Ovis aries: one gene and its partner. The protein of the gene in region 1 purifies or fractionates together with the protein of each later gene. This does not show direct contact. Links are inferred from orthologs where the notes say so. Each region holds a gene or a part of one and is shown on either strand. Other genes may lie near its edges. The genes, in order: POP4 and RPP25.

Region 1 (3,808 bases):
GTGGTGCTGGGAACTGTGCTCCAAACCACAGGCAGCAGTGGCTAGACTGTGGAGAACACCCCAGGAGACTCAGACCCTCCGGGTAAGTGAGGGACAGCACGTGCAGACGGAAGCGGGGTCGAGCTGCCAGGCATGAATGACCGTGGGAGACTCTCGGTGGGCTCAGCCTTCAGGAGGCACAGCTAGGCCTTCTCGCTGTCCAGTTAACGTGAAACCAGCGTTTACGCTCCTCTTATCGTGTTTCTCGTCCCGTGAGGATACTGAGCAGGAAGTGCTGAGAAAGCAAAGCTCTGGCACTGCTGCTTCTCTTGGCGTGGAAGCAAAAGGCATGTGGATGTGCCCCCAGTTTGTCATCAGGAAGCTTCTGCCTTCACCTTGTTGACCGGCAAACACCTGCTGCTCAAAGGAAAGGGGTGACAGGGTCTTCTAAGCCACATGGCTTTTTTAATAGCAGACCTGGAAGGCTGGTCCCCACCCTGTTCTCATTCGGCTGGTTTGTACTCAGGCCTGCGTAGAAGGGCCCCAGCTACTGGCCCACGGGCACACTGCCCGCAGGCCTGGGGTCAGACTGGAGAGCCATGCTTTTTGGCAGCAAAAATGGAACTAAGAGTCACCGAAGGCGGCACCGTTGGGGACTCAGGCTTCCTTGCAGGTTAGACCTTGGCAAAGGCTGTAGTCTTATTTTCCCCTCAGTCCCCCTTCCTCTGGAGCCTAACAGACTCAGGAATTGAGAACACTCCATAGGCTTAAGCTCCCTGTACTGGAACTTTCTTCTGCTTTCTAGAAACAGCAAAGTAAACCGTGGTTAGGTCAGAGCTTGACAGAAGGCATGATTTAAAGTAACGCGTCGAAGATGCAGGGCACCTCTGAACTACTGCACTCGGAGCCTCATGGCACCGAGAGCAAAAGGCACAGGCCAGGGGCAGCCTCAGGCCTCTCTTCCCTTCCATCCTGGCTGTGCTGCAGGAATCACTCCTGTGGCCTGTTCACGCCCACATGCATATTTTATTATCACACAAACTACTGATTTATCAAACAACATTCTGAAAACACAGAAAAGTATGAAAAGAAAAACCAAATAAACTATTTAGGTCAACTTGTGTTAATCCTGGTGCTTTCTGCCAATCTTTTCTCTCCATGGGAGTAATATAAAAGCAAGAGCATCTATAAAGACACATCCCTCTGGTCCCTGAATTCTGTGCTCAGTACAGTGCTTCTTCCCAGATGACTCAATGTCCTTACGCTGATTTAAACTGGCTGGAAGTGGTCTATGACCAGAACTGGCCTGACCAGCTCTTCCCTGAAAGGTGGATGTTTCCAGTCTTTGGCTGGCATAAATAATCCCCTTAGGCAGCAACAGCTCACAGGTCAATTGTTCCCTTGGCTTTGAACTTTTTTGCAGACCGCTCACTTGACCGCAGCTGGAATTTGCTACCATAAATGTAGGAAATAAAGCCATCGATCTCCACAGTGAACACACAGTTTAGCTTGGGGATAACTGAAAAAAAGTGAGAGAAAAAGGATAAGGAAAAAAATCCTGGCAGTAAGTTCACTTTTACAGAAACTATTATTCCCAAGATGTTTGTATTAGACAATAAACAAAGCGACTAGGGAAAACATTAGGAAATGCAGGAACCCACAAAGTTAACAATACCAGGATGAAGGTGATGATTCCACCAGGCAGCCAATTTACTCACATTTTAAATATAACTCAACACCTAGTTTTCAGGGTGAAAGGCTATGAACCAAACTTCCAGAATCAAAAGCTCCTAGAAAAACTGCCAGAAACAGGTCTTACCACATAACCTGCAGACAGACTCATGGGGTTATGCTTCTGGGGAAACCTGTACACCACTTTCTGAGGTTTAAAATGACAGCGGAGGAATATATAGGGAAATGGAAGCAAGCTGCAAGACACCCACGGGTCAAAAATTAAAGGAGCAACCCCCCTGTGGTTTTGAAGTCTCTGGATTCGTGGGCAAGGCAGGGGGTGGGAATCCTGGCAGGCCAGGCGCTCCTCTGCCAGAGTGGTGAGCACGACAGACAGGCGAGGGGGGACTTGCCTCCCCGGATCCCAGGGCGCGGGCTCTGGGAACTCCAGGGGCAGGCGCTGCCTTGGCTTCCTCCCTACTAGCTCTCTGGCTATAATTTTCTGGGAGGCAGCAGCCTTTGGGCAGGTGGAGGGTCCCAGTCCTGGAAACAGACCCAGGTGTCTGGAGGCACAGCCAAGCCACCCTCCCTTTCCTTGATCATGTCTGGCCATGGTGGCTGGGCTGACGAGTGTCTCAGGGAGAGCCCAGGGTGCCAGGATGGTCTTTGTAGGCTTGACATGTACGATAGGCAGGGATCTGCTGACTCGAAAGGCCAAACTACCTTTAGAGTCCTGAGGAAAGTGCCAATGAGTTGGCTGGGGCGGCCACAGCCACGGCCATCCAGTCACGTACCTTTCAGGCGGTCTTCTTTAGTGATGATTTTGAAAACATGCTTTGTCTCTTGTAGAAGGATCCCTGTAACACCCACATAGGAGGGGCACTTGGATTTTGTAACTGCAAAGGAAAAGGGCAGTGCAGGGCTCAGGCCTCTGTGCTGTTAGCGGAGCCACAGGCAGCCAGACCTGTCGGGGATGAGGGCTCTGTTCCCAACCTTGAGCCAGCAGAGGAAGAAAGGACACCAGGCGGGGCGTGGTGAGGGGCAGCACTCCGATCCTAAGTGTTGGCGACTCCGCTGGGCATGGACAAACCCAGGTTTCCCAGTCCCTTACTGGGGCGTTATAGTCTCTGTGCTGCTCTGGTAAGGTGTCCTTCAGAGGGCCTGCTGCCACAGGGGTCCTAGGCAGGATTTTGGAGCCAAGAGGTCGCACATGTATCCAATACCACCAAGACCCACAGTTGGGTTGCTCTGGCAAGGCCAGGTCTCACTTATAGGACCTAAGTGAACACCTGTTCACCATGGTCTTCCTGTAACCTCCTACGCTCTGGCCAGAATGGGCGGCCACTCCAGGTCACCCAGCAGTGAGCTGCCACCACGGCAACAGGCCCCTCACCTCCTCCAACCCATCTCCCATGTAGCCAGTACATGGTCACGGAACACCTGCTGTGTGTCTGGCACTGTCCTAGGCAGGTGCTGGGCACAGCAGTGAAAAGGGCAGTCCTGGGTCCTGCTCTCAAGAAGCTGTTGTTCTAATGGGGGAGGGGTAACAAATACAGATAGCTTTATTTTCTGATAGTGATGAGTGCTATGAAAAAAAACAAGGGCAGGGTAATGGGGGAGAGAGGTCATCTTTAGTAATGGTAGACCCCTGGGAAGTGACATCTGAACAGAGACCCAAATAACGAGAAAGAATCCTGTGAGCACAAAGAACTCCTGGCCAGAGGGAAGAAGCAAATGCTAAGACCCTGAGGCAGGGCCAGGCCTGGTGAGCAGAAAGCTGGTCAGTGTGGTTAGACTTGCTGCCCAAGGAGACTGCACAGGCTGTTTGGACCACAGTAAAGAGGCAGAAAGGACAGGACTTTTTCAGTTAAAAAAATCCTCCCTCTGGCTGCCTGGTCAGGGGAGGAGCAGTGTGTTGGTAGGAAGAGGGTTAGGCGGCTCTGCAATAATCCAGGGGAGGAGCGGTGGCTTAGATTCGGATGTTAGGGTGTGCTCATGTCTTGGAGGTGGGGATGAGGAAAGAAATGTGGGTGCCTCCGAGGTCTCCGGCCTGCACAGCCAGGGCGACTAGTGCGCTACGAACTGTGGCCCTCAGCAGTGCTCAGTGGCGTCACTGACACTGACCTCAGCGGCAACTGAGATGACAACCAGGGGGAGG
Region 2 (3,469 bases), on another chromosome or scaffold:
GAGAGGAGGGGGACCCCAGCAGCCCCGTCTCAAGACTCGGCACCAGCTCTCCCAGGCACTGGGATGACCCCAGCACTTCAAGGGCTTCCTGTCCGCCGCAGCTATCAGGGCTCCACCCCGCCACGCCCCATCGTAGTCACCCCTACCCGGATCAGGTCTGGCCCACCTTCAGTTCTGTGTGTCCCGCGAGGGGTGGAAGGATGAAGGACGAGGCCCTGGGGCAGTTCTAGGAAGAATACAGCTGTATTCTTCACAAACCCGCTCTCTCTCATCAGCAGTCCTTTAAAGCCCAATCTCATCTCTCCCTTCACTGTCCATCTCTCCTGGAAAGAGATCCCGGGCCACTCCCTCGGTCTTGCGGAGTTCCAGGGGAGGGGCACCCGGTAACTGTCCCTGAGATTTCCGTTTCCCAGCTACCTCCCTTCTCCCTCAAAACCTGCTTTTACCCAGCCTCTTTTCTGAAAAGGACCCCACTGGGTCCCAGGGGGCCCGGTTGACTAACAACAAATTCCACCTGAGAAGAAAGGGGATCCACGTGAGCAGAGGACAATATCTGGCTTACTCTAGGGCATGCAGTTCTAATACTCGACTTTCAGGCATGGATGGAGGGAGCTTAACTCCTCTTGAGAAGGGAGTCTCATTGTTCTCGTCCCATTCATCCCAGGGCACAGCCTGGCCCAGAGCCTCGGTTCGCAGAGCAGGGGTGTCTGGGAGCCTTCAGCTCCGGTCAGGCGCGGCAAGCCTGAGACCTCAGTTCTCCGGTTGTCCTGCGAGGACCATGCCGAGACATAGTCGTCGAGGGCAGACGCGGAGCGGAGACGGCGCCTACTACACTCTGCTGACAGCGTGCAGGCTGTCCTTCAGGCGAGAAGAGAGGCTCGGGAGCGAAGGGATGGGGTGGGGGTGGGGGTGTCGTTCCTCTAGGAGTGGGAGAAAGAGGTCCCAGTCCCCAGAAGGCCGCTTTGAAATCTCTCATTGGGAGCGGGCAAGGGGTGGGTGGCCTTCAGCTGAACCGCGGAAGGGCTCGGGGACCCGGCTTGAAGCTGAGTTTGCCCAGCAAATGCAGTTTTTATTTAGGTTGCAGGTTTATGAAGGTAGGCTCAGGGAGGGCTGATGGTGATTATAGGGAAACTTCAGCTGGCAGGTCACTCCTGGCACTGCCATGGCATCCCGCGATGCGCGCACCTCCCAAACCCGGATATCAGAGGACCAGAGTGGATGCGGGCGAATTGCTGGTGAGGCTGGGCGCGAGCTGGCAGGGCTGGGTAAGGGGCGGGGCCCGGCGGCAGGGGCGGGGCTCCCAGGCTCTGAGGCGGGGCCTCAGCTAAAGGCGCGTAGCACAGGGCGCCGAGATCGCCGAGTAGAGCAGCGCCCAGTGGAGAGAAGTGGAAGGCTAGGATCGCACCGTCCCAATCGGCCAGCCAGCGTCCACGCCGCTCCCGCACCCTTAACCCTGCCGGCCCTTGCGGGACGCGACCCACCGACATGCATTCCCGGGGCTGAGGCGGCCCGATGGCGAAGCCCGCGTCCCCGCAACGACGGCGCATGGAGAACTTCCGTAAGGTGCGCTCCGAGGAGGCGCCGGTGGGGAGCGGGGAAAAGGAGGGCGGCCCAGGCTCAGGCCCCTTCGCCGACCTGGCGCCGGGCGCCGTGCATATGCGGGTCAAGGAGGGCAGCAAGATCCGGAACCTGCTGGCCTTCGCCACTGCCAGCATGGCGCAGCCAGCCACGCGCGCCATCGTCTTCAGCGGCTGCGGTCGAGCCACCACCAAAACCGTCACGTGTGCCGAGATCCTTAAGCGCCGCCTGGCGGGTCTGCATCAGGTCACGCGGCTGCGCTACCAGAGCGTGCGCGAGCTGTGGCAGAGCCTCCCTCCGGAGCCCACACCGGGGCAGAAGCCTGGCGAGCCAGCCGCCAGTCTCAGTGTACTTAAGAACGTGCCCAGCCTCGCCATCCTACTTTCCAAGGATGCCCTGGATCCGCGCCAACCCGGGTACCAGCCGCCGAACCCCCATCCCGGCCCCTCGTCCCAGCCAACTGCTCCGACGTCCAAGAGGAGTCTAGGGGAACCTACTGCTGGAGAGAGCTCCGCGAAGAGGTCACAACCCGAGCCAGGTGCTGCTGAAGAGGACCAGACCGCCTGAGAACTCCGGCCTCTGGGCCACCTGGACGGGCTGAATCCTACGCTCGAGCTTCGACCTTGAGATGCATCTCTAGCCTTTCACGCCTTGGTACTCTGGAACCTACAACGTGGAAGCATAGACCCCAAGGCGACAAGGGGGGACCCCAGGGAAGCTTCGTGGTGGGGTTGCTCCTCCAGCTGTGTTGCCTGACGACACTTTCAGCTTTTCTGAACCATACGGGGACCTTCTTCAGGGAGGGAATGGTGGGCAATGGGATTCTTGAGCCTTTAACCCCAAGGGTTAAAGGTTCATGTAGGATTCTTGAAGTGGGCTACGAAGGTGGAAGCTGAGGAGAGCTCTTGAAACCACCCCACCATTGTCAGCAGAGGGCAAAGGGTTGGAAACCACTGCTTGAGGGCGGGGGATTTTGAGTGGCAAGGGGTAAGGGGCTATTCTGCTCCTCACCCCAGGACAGTTTCTAGTTTTCCTTTCCCTGCTTTTAAGGAGCATCCTGAGATCATGGTGGCAGGGGCGTCTCCATAGGCTCTTTTAACATCCCACTTTCCCCATGCTGGCCCAGAGGGAGAGACCCAGGACAGAACTCTCCATGCCGCCTCCCCTGAGCCCCACAGCTGGAGTCTTGCTTCCAATAAAACAAACACAAAAAAGGCTCTGTCCCTGGGTTTTTTCCTAACCACTAGCCTGTGTAGAGACTGCTCTGGTCTGCCCCCTTGTGTCTCAGTCCCCTCCAGCCTGGAATCCTTAGCTTTTGGAGTCTTATGGGTCAGGCACAGAAACTGGACAGCTTTGAAATGGTGCTGGGAGCACCTTACCCAGTGCCTGGTTCCTCCCTCTTTCTCAGCCCTCCCTGGCTAGCTCCAGTAGCTTCAGGGCTTGTGGACAGAAGGGGACCTTGGTCACCTTATGTGCTACCACTAAGGGAAAGGGAGCAGCATACTGCTTTTCTGGAAGGGGGAGGAAGGGAAGCATCAATGAACTATCCTGGGGGTCACTGCCAAGGGTGGCAGATCCAACTGGGCTCCCTAAGCCTGCAGCCTCCTGCCAATAAACAGCCCTACCAGACGGCTGGCCCAGAGCCCCCCAGCCCCATGGATAGAATCTACCCTTCACTGCTCGCTCGCTCTCTCTGAGAAAGGACAGCACACCCTTGGGAGAGGGGGAGGAGAGACTGAGCACAAATCCACTGCTGGAAATTACTATTCAGCAGAGAAGCTGGGACTTGGGCTGTGAATCACTGCAGGCTCCCTGATAAGCTGCTGCCTCTGGCCCTGCACAGCTGTCTGTTGAGAGATAACAGCCTTATAAGCCTTTCTGCCCAACTCCA

What was found.
Region 2: the proteins of POP4 (region 1) and RPP25 purify together in Homo sapiens (affinity purification with mass spectrometry; 3 studies listed by BioGRID and IntAct, counting the BioPlex papers as one, with this or other methods). This does not show direct contact. The link is inferred for Ovis aries from reciprocal best matches to the Homo sapiens genes POP4 and RPP25.

What each region holds. Positions count from the first base shown.
Region 1 is NC_056067.1:39,744,081-39,747,888, reverse strand, and holds part of POP4 (ribonuclease P protein subunit p29), read right to left. Parts: intron 2,547-3,808; coding exon 2,445-2,546; intron 1,499-2,444; coding exon 1,362-1,498; 3' UTR 1-1,361. UniProt on the Homo sapiens protein: Component of ribonuclease P, a ribonucleoprotein complex that generates mature tRNA molecules by cleaving their 5'-ends.
Region 2 is NC_056071.1:31,412,799-31,416,267, forward strand, and holds RPP25 (ribonuclease P protein subunit p25), read left to right. Parts: upstream 1-1,355; 5' UTR 1,356-1,512; coding exon 1,513-2,145; 3' UTR 2,146-2,794; downstream 2,795-3,469. UniProt on the Homo sapiens protein: Component of ribonuclease P, a ribonucleoprotein complex that generates mature tRNA molecules by cleaving their 5'-ends. Also a component of the MRP ribonuclease complex, which cleaves pre-rRNA sequences.